2 linked regions of the Saccharomyces cerevisiae S288C genome follow. The gene in region 1 interacts genetically with each later gene. Each region holds a gene or a part of one and is shown on either strand. Other genes may lie near its edges.

Region 1 (8,760 bases):
GCCTTTTGATATATTTCGAATATGATTTTTGTGTAAAACTCGTTCTTCTTTAATTCGTTCCTTCCATAAATGAGGATATTATTTAAGGCTAGCATGAAATCACTTAAATAATAAGATACCATACTATCTGGTTTTCTATTACATTCTCCAATCAGCTCCAAAATTTTCCAGCTGATGGGTGTGATATCTCTTAGTAGGAATGTAGAGTTCTCTACAAATTCGCAACATTCGCGATAGAAATCTTCGATGTCGTTTTTCAAAATAAACTCTGCAGCTGGATAAAATGACTGTTCCAAGTTTTTTAAAATTTCAGGTGAATTCTCAAAAGACAACAGAATAGATATCGTAGTCGACAAAATACCTAGCGCCGCCATTTGCTTGTCAGATTCATCGGGTATGCTATCAACGTTCGTGAAGGAATCTGGATCCAAATTGGATGTTTCATGCAGATCAATAGCTAATTTCAAAAACTGTTGGACCAAAGTGTTCATTAATTCAACACCAAAAGGTTGTAATTGCTCAGCAAACTGCTCCACAAAATCTTGCATAACGCCTGAAATGACATCAGATTCAAAATCATTAGACAAACTTAGTAATTTCTGCATAGTAGGAACAACGTGTTCGGATAACTTCATATTAAACTGGTCATCACTGATAAAAGTTTGCAATGCCAATGCAGCTGTCAATTCTACAGGTAAAGAATTAGAAGAGTTATTCAGACAATTCATAACACCTTCGTAGATAGTAGAGGTTATTACCGGGTCTTTGAAATCCATAGAACCCAACTTCGAACAAATATCGCAAACACGACTTTGCAGAAACCCATACTGAGACTTAAAAAAAGGTAAAACGTATGTCAATATAAACTTTTCCATCTCACTGGCAAATGGAGAATCTTTAGTTATCAAACGGTCAATAATGCTGGAGAATATTCTCAAACAGGACTCAATTTGCAAGGCATTATCCAACATAATATTGTTGTAATCACCAACGGCACTTTGTAAGGTTGAGACCATAAATTCTAAGGTCGGTTGTAAGGTCGTTTTACCGCGTTTCGTCACGCATGTCGTTAGCAAAGCCAGTGCGGCAAGATCTGGGGAATAGCCGACATCCCAAAAGTCCATATTCCGGTTGATATATTCTTGAGGGTCATTGTCAAAGGCCTCCAAAGTCTCTGCAGTGGGCTTTAGTAGTGGGAAAATGACATGTTGAAGTATTACATTGTAGTGGGGCCCAACAAGTTTCCAAGTTGTTTTCTGCACAACACACTGCTCAACAAAGTTCAATATGTAGTATAAGCATTCGTCACTTAACCACAACTGTCCAGTTCCCCATTTCTCGATTTGATCGAAGACGACTTGCAAAAACTGAGTCAAAAACTCTTCACAGTACATCTGTTTAAACTCATCGTACTGAAACTTCCTTGTTAATGACGTTGATGCGTATCTCTGGAAAAGTCTATAAAGGTTTGCAAGAGCCCATTTCTTACATTTGACCCATGGATTTTTACTTCTGACCTCAATATCTGATATAGCCAAAACTTCCTGAGGCAATGGCTGCTGAATGATGCTGACAAAAAAACATGCCCATGGGGTAAACGATTCTGAGCGTTGTAATGTAAATGGTAGGTCATGGTATGAAACGAACTTATAAATTTTAATGATTAATTTTACCAATTCGCCAATTTGCTCGTTATTCATATATTTACCATCTTGGAAAAGGACATTTGCGCCATAGTTTAATAAAGCAGGGAAATAATTTAAAATCAACTCTTCTAAGTCCTGTCTTTCATCATTATTCTTCCACCTATAGGTCCTAAAAATCTCAGCAAGACACAGAAGTCCGACATATGTTACTGTGATGTCTTCATTTGCGAGTAATTCTAAGGAATTTGGTAACAAATTGCCCCATTTTTTGCTAGGGTAATCTTCTGAAATAATTACAGTAAGGGCAGATTTTAGCACTCTGATACAACGCGGGGAGGTCTTGGACACACTGACCATTGTTTTAATTAACATATCTTTTACTACTGGTTTTTCATCCGGATCAACATGTGAATCTAATAATTCATTTGAACCCTGTCTTGCACCAGCAGACCATCCGTATGTAATCTTATTCTTGAAATATAAGGAAGCTGATAATTTGATGTTTTCTGGTACTTCATCAGCAGCAATGATATCCAGGCATGCGCCTAAGAATCCCGGTACTTTACTTGCATTTTTAAGATGTGTTTCTGCATTAGTTCTTACGGCAGCGTTATGGTCCAAAGTACAGGCAAAGCACTGTAACAATTCTGTAATATCCATCGAGAATAAAATGTCTTCGTCAAAATCAAAATTGTGTCAAATATCCAGACGAAAAATGATTGATTATGCTGAAATATATAAATGAATATTGATTCAAATATACTTTTTTGCTGAAGTAAGCATTGCAAATTTTTCATTTTCCTAAACATGGAAAAAATGGTATAGCACATCATCACACCGCATAGTGAATTTTAAAAGGCGAATCTGGCCACTATATAGCACACTAACCTACAACGACCAACCTGTGGTCAGAGACTGCGATTTTAATATTTCTTCGTCTAATACTGGAAAAGGATGAGCTTCTGTGTTGAAAACAACTTTGGTCAAATCAAACTCGTCTAAAAACAATATATATAAATACTTTAAAGTCTCTGCCAACCAGAAACTTTCCATATTGTTAGATTTCTTTGTAGGTAACGTGATACAATCACTTAAACTGGTGAACCGCCTTAATTTTGGGTCATTACAATCAACACAGGTATTTTCAAAGAAGCTAGTTGCGATTTCCGCCCCCCATTCACGATATTTGTGATCATGAGATAAATGATACATGAACATAATCGATTCCACCGTTTCTGGTCTTTGTAGGTTGTGCCTATCGAGTGGTTTAACAAAAAAATCACCCACAGACGACCGCCACCAACCATCCTGTTTTATGTTTCCATCATTGAAGACAACGATTTCAGGCGCAAGCCCCGAGGAAGACTGCTTGTACATTTGATAACATGTGTCAGTTATCCCTTTAGCCAAATCCCAGTCACTTTTTCTTTCAAGGGAAAGAGAGAAAAACGGACGTCTTCGGGCTTCATGAATAGAAAGGCCCTCAGTAGAGCCTGATGCTAACAATCCCCCCATAAAGCACACGAGGTGGTCCATCTTAGGAGAAAGTTGTCCATGTAGACCTTGTTCTCTTTCCCCAATGTACCACAGAGAAGAGGGTTTGGATTGTGCTAATAAATGCTTTTTCATACCTTCCATGGATTTTCTGTACAGATCATAATAAAGTGTTTCGTGCGTCAATAAATATTGTTTTAGTAAATACTCATAAAAAGAATCACCTCTTGATCCGAACCGGATAGTCGAAGCACCAAACTTCCCAGTATCTGGAAATGTATAAATTGGAACCAATCCATCGTAGGTATTTAGAAGATCGTTATTTTTGTATAATGGCTCGTAAACACGCTCCACCAGCTCCCAATAAGTACGATTTCCTGTCAAATACGCCAGATATTTGAATTCCATTTGTAGCGTAGTGAATTCTGCGGTAGAAGATGCCCCCCCATCTGCATGGTTCTTAACCGCTTGGCCACTATGAAGGTTTATACTTGAGTATGGAATTCCGGTCTGAGTGGATAAGAACGCCAAAGCAAGCCTATCCCCCAAATCTATTGCTTTGTTCAAGTAGACAGTCTTATTACCTACTTCTAAAACATCAGATAGATGATATGCGGATAATAAACCACCTAGCATTCTAATAGTAGTTTCAAAAACATTCACTTCGGCATCAATATCAAAATCCAAAACATCGTTTATCCAATGCTCCGATCTCTGAATTTCTGCCTCGAACTCACTTTTGTATAGTGTGGAGGAGTTATACATTAACATCAAGGTATCCACTGAATCTACGATAATCCAGCCTAACGGCTGGTTGCCACGAGGCATATTATGGGAAGTGTGCTCAATAGGTCCATACACATCGTATCCCCAGCCATGCTTGGAATAGTCTCTCCACGATTCCAAGAACATGCTTTCAATCCGATCTCTCATTTCTCCGGCCCCCGGTGACTTTCTCTCAAAGTGTTCGTACCATGGCACATAGTATATAGCTGCTATGATAGCAACAATGGTTGCAATTGAAATACCGACAGAGTTCTTCATAGAATCCTTTTTCAATGTTTAACCTTTTCCTCTTTTACTACCTTTTTCTGTCGTCTTTCGTTTCTTGGCAAAGCACATTTCTTTCATTCTTTCGTTTGGCGAAACTGAAAATTCCAAATAATTGCTCTTCCACAGAAAATGCGTTACAACCAAAGTGAATTTGTAAAAGTTTAACCCCACATTTTGCTACAGTCTTATTTAAAAATAGCAGTATTCATATTAAAATATCTTGCGGTTTAAGAACTCAATTAACTTCAATGATTGCCAGTGTTGTTCAGGTAAAACCCTTCAAACCTAGTAAATATGACTTATCTTCATGCGTGGATGTAAAAAACAAAAATCATGATAGCGCCTCTGCACTTCACAATATCTCGGTCTAAAAATTAGTCATATATTTTGGATATATATATATATATATACCCATATATATAACGATAGTAGAATGACGCTCATGTGCCGATTCGGGACCTACATAAACAAGAGAGAGAAGAGGAACAGAAGAAAAAATGATATCTAGAACCATTGGTGAATCTATTCCGCCCAACACAAAACATGCTGTTTCCGTGTGTTTGCCCACATGGGAAGCTACAGTAGGCTATGAAGAGGGTGAAAGCAGTATAATTAACTCGCTTACTACCGGATATCCAAGATTTTTCATACACAAGTCAATAAAGAAATTATGTGAAATTTTATCCGCTAAGTACTCCATGGAAGATGAAGCTTGTCTTTGCTTCCCCTCTTACAAGGTTGCCAATAGGTGCAGAGAGTTTATCAAAGTGAAAACGGGTCTTTCTACCAAAGTACGCATCTTACAACTATGTACACCTAAACCTATGAACCAAGAGGAAAAGCTCTGGAGAAGGGAATGTAAAATCACGGTGGTGTTTGTAGACCAGGAAATATTCCCCGTGATGAAGCAGTATTGGCAACATTCTGGTGAGATTGTATCTAGCAGAATGGCGGAGTATATTTTACATGAATTACAAGTCAAGGATAATCTTAAGAAGATGGAAACAGTGGATAACGGTAAAAAATTTATGACCGAAGATGAAAACAGAGTGAACGAAGAATATATAGAAACGAGATTTGGGAGAAATTTAAATTTTCTTGCTGCTGATAAAGCCAAATATCTAATACGAAAGAGGATTGCCACAAAAGTTGTTGAAAAAATTGACTCTGAAGGTCTATCGGACCTATTCTCTTTTGAACACTATAACGAGAGCAACGGTCCATTCAATGTTGGCAGTGGAGAGGCTCTGGATGATGATCAGTTGAATTCGGACATACCTGCCGAAACAATTACTTCTATGGGAGAAAGTGGCTCAAACAGTACTTTTGAAAACACAGCTACCGATGACTTGAAGTTTCATGTCAACCCTAATACGGATGTTTACTTATTTCCAAGTGGAATGGCGTCCATTTTCACTGCCCACAGGCTGCTTTTAAACTTCGATGCCAAGCGCTTATCAAGGTCTTCTAGTAGACAAGATAAGTTGATTGGATATGGACCTCCGTTCAAGAAGACCGTCATGTTTGGATTCCCATATACAGATACTCTGAGCATTCTTCGGAAGTTCAATCACACACATTTCTTGGGACAGGGAGATTCAACGTCAATGAACGCTCTGAAAAATATTTTACATTCTGGTGAGCAAATACTGGCGGTATTTATAGAAGCTCCATCGAACCCACTGTTGAAAATGGGAGATTTACAAGAACTGAAAAGGCTATCAGACTTGTATTCATTTTACATAGTGGTCGATGAAACTGTGGGTGGCTTTGTCAATATAGATGTATTACCGTATGCCGATATTGTTTGTAGTTCGCTAACGAAAATCTTCAGCGGCGACTCGAACGTTATTGCAGGATCCTTAGTACTAAATCCTAGAGGAAAGATTTATGAGTTTGCTAGAAAATTTATGAAGACTGAAGACGGATATGAAGATTGCCTATGGTGCGAAGATGCGTTATGCCTGGAAAGAAATTCGAGAGACTTCGTGGAACGTACAATCAAGGTGAATACAAACACTGATATATTGTTAAAAAGGGTGTTATTGCCTCAGGTGGGAAAATTGTTCAAGAAAATATATTACCCCAGTTTAACATCAGAGGATACCAAGCGGAATTATGACAGCGTTATGTCTACAAAAGATGGTGGGTATGGAGGTTTATTTTCACTAACTTTTTTCAATATTGAAGAGGCAAAGAAGTTTTTCAATAATCTGGAATTGTGCAAAGGACCTTCTCTCGGTACGAATTTCACTTTGGCGTGTCCATATGCTATTATTGCCCACTACCAGGAATTAGACGAGGTAGCTCAATATGGTGTCGAAACAAATCTTGTAAGAGTGAGCGTCGGTTTGGAAAATAGCGACGTTTTATGCAATGTTTTTCAGCGTGCCATTGAGAAAGCTTTAGGGGAATAAAGCCAAAATGTTTATATGTATTAGAAAACTCTGTAGAAAATTTTAATGCTGATTGTCCGGACACGACAAACAGCGAAATAAATACTAGCAGTTAGTACATCATCGCAAAAATGATGAAGAATGTATAAGTAAATGAAAAAGGAAAAGAAAGCAGAAAAATCGAGCTAGTAAAACTTGACCCTCCTCGTCAAAGATAACATGAATGAAGATCTATTCTACGATAGATTACATCAGCGGTGCCCTGGAAAATACTTGCTAGAAGAGTTGGAAACAAGCAAATCTAACGATGTCCTGCATGCATCGAGATTTGTTTGTGAGATGGAACTTGTGCAAAAGACGAATGCATATTATTGCAAAACCATAGTCAAGATGCTCTTAGACCACGAATGGATTTTCGCGAAGGCATTCACAATTGTCAACGATGGCGAAGACGAGATAGAGATATATGATTATCTCTATGAGAAGTACATAAAACTATTAAGCACAGGCAAGCCAGACCCGATGATGAAAGACGTCGTGAGGTACAGGTTTGACGAGGACGTAAAGATCAAAATTGAGGAAACACCGAATTTGATCAGTGCGGCCAGTACTACAGGTTTCAGGACATGGGAAGCTGCCTTATACATGGGTGATTTCCTTATTCATAAGCCCTTACAAGAGTTGGCACCGGTACAAGGACAAGACGATGGCAAGAAAAAATTAAATGTTCTTGAGGTCGGCGCTGGCACAGGCATAGTGAGTCTCGTCATTTTACAAAAGTATCACGAGTTCGTAAATAAGATGTACGTCACGGATGGTGATTCGAATCTCGTTGAGACGCAGCTGAAAAGAAATTTTGAATTGAACAATGAAGTGCGTGAGAACGAACCAGACATCAAGTTGCAAAGATTATGGTGGGGCAGCGATAGAGTTCCTGAGGATATAGATTTAGTAGTGGGGGCAGATGTTACGTATGACCCAACTATCCTTCCTGATCTATGCGAGTGTCTGGCCGAATGTCTTGCTTTAGACCGATGCAAACTGTGTCTCCTATCCGCGACAATTAGAAGCGAATCCACTGTCCAACTGTTTTCTCAAGAGTGCAATAAACTCGGGCTAAAATGTACCATAGTCACCAGCACAGAGTACGACGCAAACAACGAGATCCGCGCGATGAAAGCCCTGCAATTCAAACCTTTGATTGCACCCATACGGATCTACAAGATCACGAAACAATAAGATACATGTGCAAGTACAAGTTCAAAAATAAAACATAACTAAAAAAAAAAAGAAAAAAAATATAGTCATCTTCTGACACTCGAGTCTCATTCAGCTAATCAAAACAACTAGCAATCCACTCGAGTTCTTATAAATGACCCGGAAATTGATCTCTCCACATTACGCTTATCACGAATAAGACCGAGTGTTCAAATAAATAGCTCGATCTTCGTACTGTCTAATGCGGTGGATTAGTACTTTAGGACAAAGTTACTTTTTTTCGGAAGGAAACTTCAAAAATAGAATTAACAAATAAGAAGGAAAAGCGAAAAACAAATCTCATTGCCTGTGCTTTCTTTTATACTTTTTTTTTTCGCTCGGAACCTCTTGCTTATACACGGTTTTTTTCCACGGAAACCTCGGTTACCCTTCAATTACTGGAACGTTAGGGCACAATCTAACAAATATATATACTGGCTTACAAGATGTAACAAACTACGAATAGTGGTACGAAGCTTATCACATGCACCATTATCTGTAACTGGGTTGCCGCCAACAGCAGACTCATGGGCTGGTTGAAAAAATCTTGGAAAACAGAGATAAACAGCTCGGCAGATAACATTTCCTGCGACCTTAATGCTGCGTTAGGTGTAATTGTCGCAATTTGCGGCCGGCCATAGTTGTTCGTGCTACAATATATGGAAGAAGCAACTGTTTTTGAATCAACGGTAGTAACGACCTTATATCATCATACACGAAAATACGCACAGACGGGGGTGAACCACTCCAGGGGCAGAGTAGAGTGTACAAGGAAAATTGTGATCTCGCCGCACGGTGCTGCATCGCGGAAATTCTCCGTAGGGCAACGGATAAGGTAACTGCGTATGCGGCATCGACAATAGGTAACTACGCGAGCAACTTCTATTAAGAGAAATAATTTTTGGGAAATGGCC
Region 2 (7,392 bases), on another chromosome or scaffold:
TTTAGGAACTTCATATTGACAAAATCGGAAAGTATCAAATCTGGCTGGAAGCCTATTCTTGAATCCTTACAATATACGGCTCGCTCAAGCACTGAATCCATTGTATTAAAGACGCAATTGCTGGTTAGCAATGATATTGTGACAAATCACTTCGAAAACGTATTCTCTCAAGAAGATGCCTTTTCTGAGTTAGTTGGTGTCTTCAGAGAAATCACCAAAAATAAGAGATTCCAAAAGCTATCTCTACATGCTTTGGAGTCTCTAAGAAAGATGACTCAGAACGTCGCAGACATCTGTTTTTACAATGAAAATAAGACTGAAGAAGAAAGAAAACATAACGATGCTTTACTTCGTGGGAAAGACATATTCCAGGATGTGTGGTTCCCTATGTTATTCTGCTTCAATGATACGATCATGACAGCTGAAGACTTAGAAGTTAGATCACGTGCATTAAACTATATGTTCGATGCCCTAGTGGCATATGGTGGTAAATTCAATGATGATTTCTGGGAAAAGATTTGTAAGAAGTTACTATTTCCTATTTTCGGTGTATTATCCAAACATTGGGAAGTCAACCAATTCAATAGTCATGATGATTTAAGTGTTTGGCTTTCGACCACGTTAATTCAAGCCTTAAGGAACTTGATTGCCCTTTTTACGCATTACTTTGAATCGTTGAACAGAATGCTCGATGGATTTTTGGGTCTGCTGGTATCCTGTATTTGTCAAGAAAATGACACTATTGCTAGAATTGGGAGATCCTGCCTGCAACAATTGATATTGCAAAACGTATCTAAATTCAATGAGTACCATTGGAATCAAATAGGTGACGTATTCGATAAATTGTTTGATTTAACCACTGCTAATGAATTGTTCGATTATGATCCGTTACAGCAAGGAAGAAAATCATCTGTATCTCATCACCAAACAACTAATGATACCAGCCAACACTCAGATGATGATAGCAACGACAGAAGGGAGAACGATTCTAATATCAGTGAGACGGTCGAAAGAGCGCATCAAGAAGAATCCAGCGAAGACGTTGGTGGTGACATGGTTGAAACACTCAATGGGCAAACTAAGCTTAATAATGGCAATTCCGTTCCGACGGTAAAGGACGAATTGAATCCAAAGCCCGCTAGTCTAAGTATCCCCAAGAAAACTAAGCACATGAAACGAAACGAAAGTAACGAAGATATACGTAGGAGAATAAACATCAAGAATTCTATTGTTGTCAAATGTGTTTTACAGCTTTTGATGATAGAGCTGCTCAACGAATTATTCGAGAACGAAGATTTTGCCCACTGTATCCCTTACAAGGAAGCCATTAGAATTACAAGATTGTTGGAGAAATCGTACGAATTTTCTCGTGACTTTAATGAAGATTATGGGTTAAGAACAAGACTAGTAGAGGCTCGTGTAGTTGATAAAATACCAAACCTGTTGAAACAAGAAACGAGTGCTGCTGCAGTTCTCCTTGACATTATGTTTCAGTTGTATCTGAACGATGATGAGAAGAAGGCTGATTTAATAACTCGTCTGATCACCATTTGCATCCAGGTCGTAGAGGGTTATGTTTCTTTGGATGATAGAACCATGGAACGTAGTATCAATGCCTGGCGTTCAGTGATAGTTGAAATATTACAAGGTTACTACGAATTTGATGATGAAGACTTTAGACTATACTGTCCTGCTATGTATGCTCTGGTGATTCAAATATTAGATAAGAGCGTTCCAACGGAGTTGAGACATGCTATAAAACAATTTCTAAGCAGAGTTGGTGAATTATACCTTTCTACTGATTAAGGCTTTGTTGAATGGTCCAGCAGATTAAAATATGCTTAGTTGTAGAACACAGAAAAAATGAGAAGGTTGATATACTTTTACTCATATTAATCCTGATTTAGTGGCGGTGATCCTTTTTAGATTCGTTTAATTCATAAACAAGGTACATCATATAGCAATAACAAATATGTAAACTATGTAGAAAGACTTATCAAGTTTAGCCATTTTGGTCCTCATTCATGGGCATTTTATACTAACTTCATTTTTGCCGAAATAAGAAAGGATGTAATCTTAACCTAAAATATGTAAGCAATTAAGGGCGCACGTAGTCACTTGCGAACAAATAGGAAAAGAAAGAAACAAGCACGGATACTGAATGACTGAGTGTATTACTACACGATTTATCTCAACGAATTTAAGTGTGGAGGACGATCGGCTGCACGTAGGAGTCAACGTTTTTTTACTGTGTTCATCACAAAACCATTAAGCTGAGTCATCCATATTGCAAACAATAAGGTAGCACCGCTTCCATCAAAACACTAGAACATACCGATGTTTTCACGGATTTATTGGAAACAAATAGCAGATGAGGGCGTTTTTACTTGTAATGAAGGCGAATGAGAAGGCAAGGCTTACAGGCTTGTTGTTTATGCCAAGCATCAATACTCGCTATGGAGGAGCGCCATCAGCGATAACAACAAAGTTTGCAAGTGCTTGCTTGGATATAAAAGGCTTGACGCTTAAGATAAATAGGGCCATACTTGCTTGCTTTTACTATTTTTGTTCCTCATAAGCCTGATTGACTACGCTATTATAAACCCCTACATTATCCTATAATCAACTTCACTTGTGTAACGTTGAATGAGTTCAACTGAGTAATACTCGGTCGGAAATATACGCTCCATCTGGCAGGAAACATAGGCTGCATTTATATCTTGCACAATTATGCCCTTCGTAGGTGTATGTTTTCATGTTTTCCATTATGTCAATGTAGATGTATCTTTGGACAGGCAACTTTTGGATCAATAAAGCACAATTTTTGAGCAATTTGAGATATCCAGTATTTGTACGGGAGTCCCAAGATTGTTTAGCCTAAAAGGTTGAGGACTTGGATTATTCTTCCATCAAGCGCCTCCACCCCTCGCATCCTATTTCTTTTGAAGCATAGGGGACGAGACTGTCTGTAATTTATGGCGAAGTATGACAAGAAAGATTCAAACTTTGTTTTACGTATGCCCCAATAAATTCTATGGTAGCACTACTAGAGACGTATTTTGGTTTTGTAATAATTTTCAAACTGCTCGCTATGATTTGTTACAAGAAACAAACAAAAGACACGACCATAGGGTTCATGTTGGTGGTTGCGAAGCCACATCTTTAAAACATTACTGCAAATTCAGCAGGAGTGAGTAGCAAAATCGACAAAAACTAGAGTACGCAACATTCCCGGTCGTAAATTTCTTATCGTGGCGCCAGAACATTCCCGTCCAATGATGAGAATGTCTCTAAAACAAATGCAGTCACAGAGATTTTCTGCGACTTCTCGAGTGAGAATGTTGCTTATTGGTGCTAGTGGCTTGAGATCTTCGTCAAGCAAATTGGAATGCCCCAGATTCTCAAACAAGCACGGCAGAAACTGAAATACGGCCAAAATTATGAACCCTTTTGTGGGATCTTTGTAGAAATAGGACCTCAGGATAGTATGATGAAGAATGTTGGCATGCTATACAATACTACAGTCATTTGCATGAATTGGCTGCTTGTATAGGAATCAGGTTGCGTTGGCAATGATATTCCCATAATAACGTGCAAAAGTCCCTACGGTAGTAGGCTGATCACTCCGCACGTGCGCGCTGAGAGGGTAGAGGCGCCTTCCTTACCTTAGTAACCGAAGAGTGAACTATTTCAGATAGTCTTTATCCTTCTCATGTTCATCTCCACACAATCTCACGCAATCCACGCTATAATATAAAGATACAGGTACGGTAATACCATCCATATCCAAGACAAATCGATTATAAAAGACACTGATTGCAAACGGTGCCTGGCAATCCTGATCAGAAGCACGTTAAATTTATCGCAAAAAAGGGCGAACTGAGATTTTCAAGAGTCGTGTCAATAACCAGTTTCCAATCGGAGCACGTGAATTTGTAACCACTTGTAAACACGATTAAAGACCGTTACTAAATTTCCGCTGAAAAGAAGGAAAAAGAGTATAGTATCATCTGAATCATTCGGTGTACAAACGCCAAGCTCCTGCTTTGTGCTTTTCTAATAAATTGAAATTTTGAATAAAAAGACATTATTTCAGACTACCACTAATAATGTCAGAAAACCAAAAGGAGGTATCGCCTCCTCAAGCCATATCGGTCAAATCCGAGGCAAGCTCTAGTATATTTTCCAAACCTATCTCCACATCATCACCCGCTGGGTTAGCAGCCGCTCAAAGAGTTACGCCCGGGAAACTGTCCACTTTATTACTAGAAATGGGACCATTGGCCATTAGACACATTACACAGACCTTATGCCTAGATATTCCCTGTTTTAAAGATTTATCATCTTCCAAGCAAAGACGACTTATAATGAGTGCTATGGAAAGTGGTGATAAAGAAAAATCAGTGGTATTTGAAAAAATTGGATGGGGTCAATGGTCCGCGAAAAGAGTAGACCCTGCCAACTTTGATAAGGAGCTGGAAGCGACCAATTTTGCAAATGCAAAGGTGAAAGACTTGATTTCTCAAGAGAGTCAAAGAAGGAAAAGCAACAATTCAAATTCTAATTCAGGCGGCAAAGTTGAAATGCCTATGAAAGTTGAGCATAATATCACGAATATCGATGGAGCCACCACCCCGCCTACCGCTGTTGCTTCCACCACCATTCCTGTTAATATCAAACGCAGCAAATCTCCACTTGCAGCAGCAAACGTAGTATATATAGATGAAAATGCGCTAGCATCGGAAGATGAGGATGAGGAGTTTGATGAAGATGACCATCATTTACATTACCAAAACAAATCGAGGAACAGCAGTAATAATTTTGGAAAATCTTCAAATGGTGATCCCTATAGTTTCGGCAGGAGAAGGTCTCAAGTTGTGTTCGCCGATTCAACTCCCGAGAATATTGAGCATGAAATAATAGCACAAAAGATTAGACCGCTATTAAGAAATAGACGCCGTTCGAGCATAAAACCACATACACCTTTCATTTCCAAACTAAACACACACCAAGATTCATCCTACCTTTCCCCCAATACAACCTCAACGACAACCCCATCAAATAACAACAGTAACTCAAACCAGGCGAAGATAGATTTAGAGAAACTTACTGCGACAAGTGAGCCAACTTCAAGAAGAGCTTCTCGTCTGTCTGTATCGAAAGAATCAAGTATTAGATCGACACTTTTCCCAAACAAAAACTATTTGATCGTCACTACAAACCCTAACTCTAAAGCTACGTCGGTTTCCACCTCCCCTAAGCTAGAAGAACAGATGAATGTAAGTTCAAATCCGATAGTATTATCGGACAAGGAGAAACATAGAGTAGCTTCACAACACCTGAATGGGGAATCGTCGCCACAACTTGTTCCCCATTCTCATCATCAACCTCACTCAGATACAGACGAAGAAGACTGGGAATCAATTGGTGCAGCTTCTCTGAGAAATAACAGTTTAGCACCTAACATAGACAGCGTAGCAAGTTCTACTAATGGCGTAGTTAGCCCTAAACCTACAAATCCAAGTTTTACTAACTCTCAGAATGGAGATATTGAGCCTCCCCTACAACACGACCAACAGAAACATGAACAGCAGCCAAGAAATGGGGAAGACAATAGTGCTGCGTTTTTATTAATGAGCTTAAAATCTTAAGAATTCTTTACCAGTTCCATGAAATAACAAAAAAACAGTAAAAAAAAAATGAAAATGAAAAAAGAATACATATTTTGTTTTAATGAAAGTTTGTTACCAAGTTTTGCTTTAAGTTTATCATCTCTGAATAATTATTTTGTCTTTTTTGTCACCACTTTTTTCTTGTCACATTTTTTTCTTCTTTTCATATTCATTTCATATATTAGCCCGTTCAATATATTTCAAAAGACCCAGTATTTTTCACATTTTACCCTTCCGATTCTTTGTGTAGTATATACAAATTACAAAAACACACACTGAGAAAAACATGCACTAATAAAAAATAAGATATTATGTACTAACGTAGGAAAGCAGGTACAAAACCTCTGCTGTAATTTCACGATTTTCTTTATTGATCATTAATTTTCTTCTTTTTTTTTTTTGTATTATGTATAAATGAAAATAACAATAAAAAAGGAAGTAGATGCACGCTGCACCAGTAAAATAGCTACATAAATTTCTAGTCAACAGTGTCGGCAGTATGTTTGACCTCTTCATGGTTATCTCCGCCACCATCACGGTCGTTTAAGGACAGATTCTCCATAGTGGCGTCTTCATGGTCCTGTTCGTATTGATCTTTCAAACTTTGAAAGTCTTTCTCGTTTTCTAAGATCGCTTTTATTCCAATAATGTCAATGTCATTAAACACTTCCAAAAGTTTCTCAGCCTCTTCAATTGGTATATCTTCAAAGACTTTATTAATATTATCCAAATTTTTGGTCATTATGGCTTCTTGCATTTTTTCCGGTATTAAAGTTTTGAAAACTTTAACCTTTTTCATCTCTTCTGGATCTTTAGAATTGAAGTCTGGCAAGTTTACTTCTAATTCTGTAGAATCATCTAGAGATTTCAATTGAATCGTCTCTACTCCTTCAGCATTCGATTCATCCATTTCCTCTTGTTGTAAAATTTTGGAACGTTTTTGAATGTGCAAAAATTTTTCTTGAACTGATCTCAAAAAAGACTCTTTACCCATTGGCTTGTCCTTGTTGAAGATAACCTTCTCGAAAAACATATTAATGACATTTGATAGTTCCATTGGATTTAAATATGGAATTTTCTTCATGTCGTAGATTTCCTTAATGTAGGCCATCAATTCGGATTGATGAATGACTTGCAAAGTCATCTTATCGTCACCATGTAACTGATACTCAAAGGCCTTCATCATTAAGGCGTCCTTTTGTTGTTCTGAAATAATAGGTAAGTGCTCCAGTAAGAATTTCTGAGATTTTGAGTACTCATTAATGGATATTTTACCGAATTCTTCAGTTTCCTTGGCCAGTTTCATAGGATCATCTTTAAAATCGATGAAAGTTTGCGGAACTGATGATTTTGCTAGTTTATTAAGAATATTAGACTCTGCAGCGCTCGAAAGAGCTTCTGAAGGAGTTGCTTCCAGTGGCTTAGCCCCCCCCTTTTGCTTGTTCATAAAGCTACTATCAAAGCCTGTATGAATGTCTTCAGATGAAATGTGTGCATTTTTCTCCTTGTATAATTCATCTAATTTCTTCTTAGCCTCTACAGTTACTGAATCGATCTTAGCCCTATGTTTCAAAATAGCATCCCTTATGAGAGATGGGCTCTTCGAGTCTTTGCCCTCTTTGTCTAAATCTTTTGCTAATTGTTCAAAAAGATCTTCAACCATTTCATTGTATGTTGCAATCTCAGGATCAACATTTTCCCCTTTACTTTTCTCCATCTT

What was found.
Region 2: mutations in STR2 (region 1) and STB3 together harm fitness more than expected from each alone (negative genetic interaction), as found in Saccharomyces cerevisiae (2 studies listed by BioGRID).

The regions. Positions count from the first base shown.
Region 1 is NC_001142.9:663,068-671,827, reverse strand, and holds STR2 (cystathionine gamma-synthase), read left to right. Parts: upstream 1-4,690; coding exon 4,691-6,610; downstream 6,611-8,760. Other genes in the region: NMD5 (Nmd5p), read right to left, coding at 1-2,306; MNS1 (mannosyl-oligosaccharide 1,2-alpha-mannosidase), read right to left, coding at 2,535-4,184; EFM3 (protein-lysine N-methyltransferase), read left to right, coding at 6,809-7,828; YJR128W (uncharacterized protein), read right to left, coding at 8,548-8,760. UniProt on the Saccharomyces cerevisiae protein: Catalyzes the formation of L-cystathionine from O-succinyl-L-homoserine (OSHS) and L-cysteine, via a gamma-replacement reaction. In the absence of thiol, catalyzes gamma-elimination to form 2-oxobutanoate, succinate and ammonia.
Region 2 is NC_001136.10:790,607-797,998, reverse strand, and holds STB3 (Stb3p), read left to right. Parts: upstream 1-4,109; coding exon 4,110-5,651; downstream 5,652-7,392. Other genes in the region: Arf family guanine nucleotide exchange factor SEC7, read left to right, coding at 1-1,806; YDR169C-A (uncharacterized protein), read left to right, coding at 3,276-3,425; Hsp90 co-chaperone CDC37, read right to left, coding at 6,151-7,392.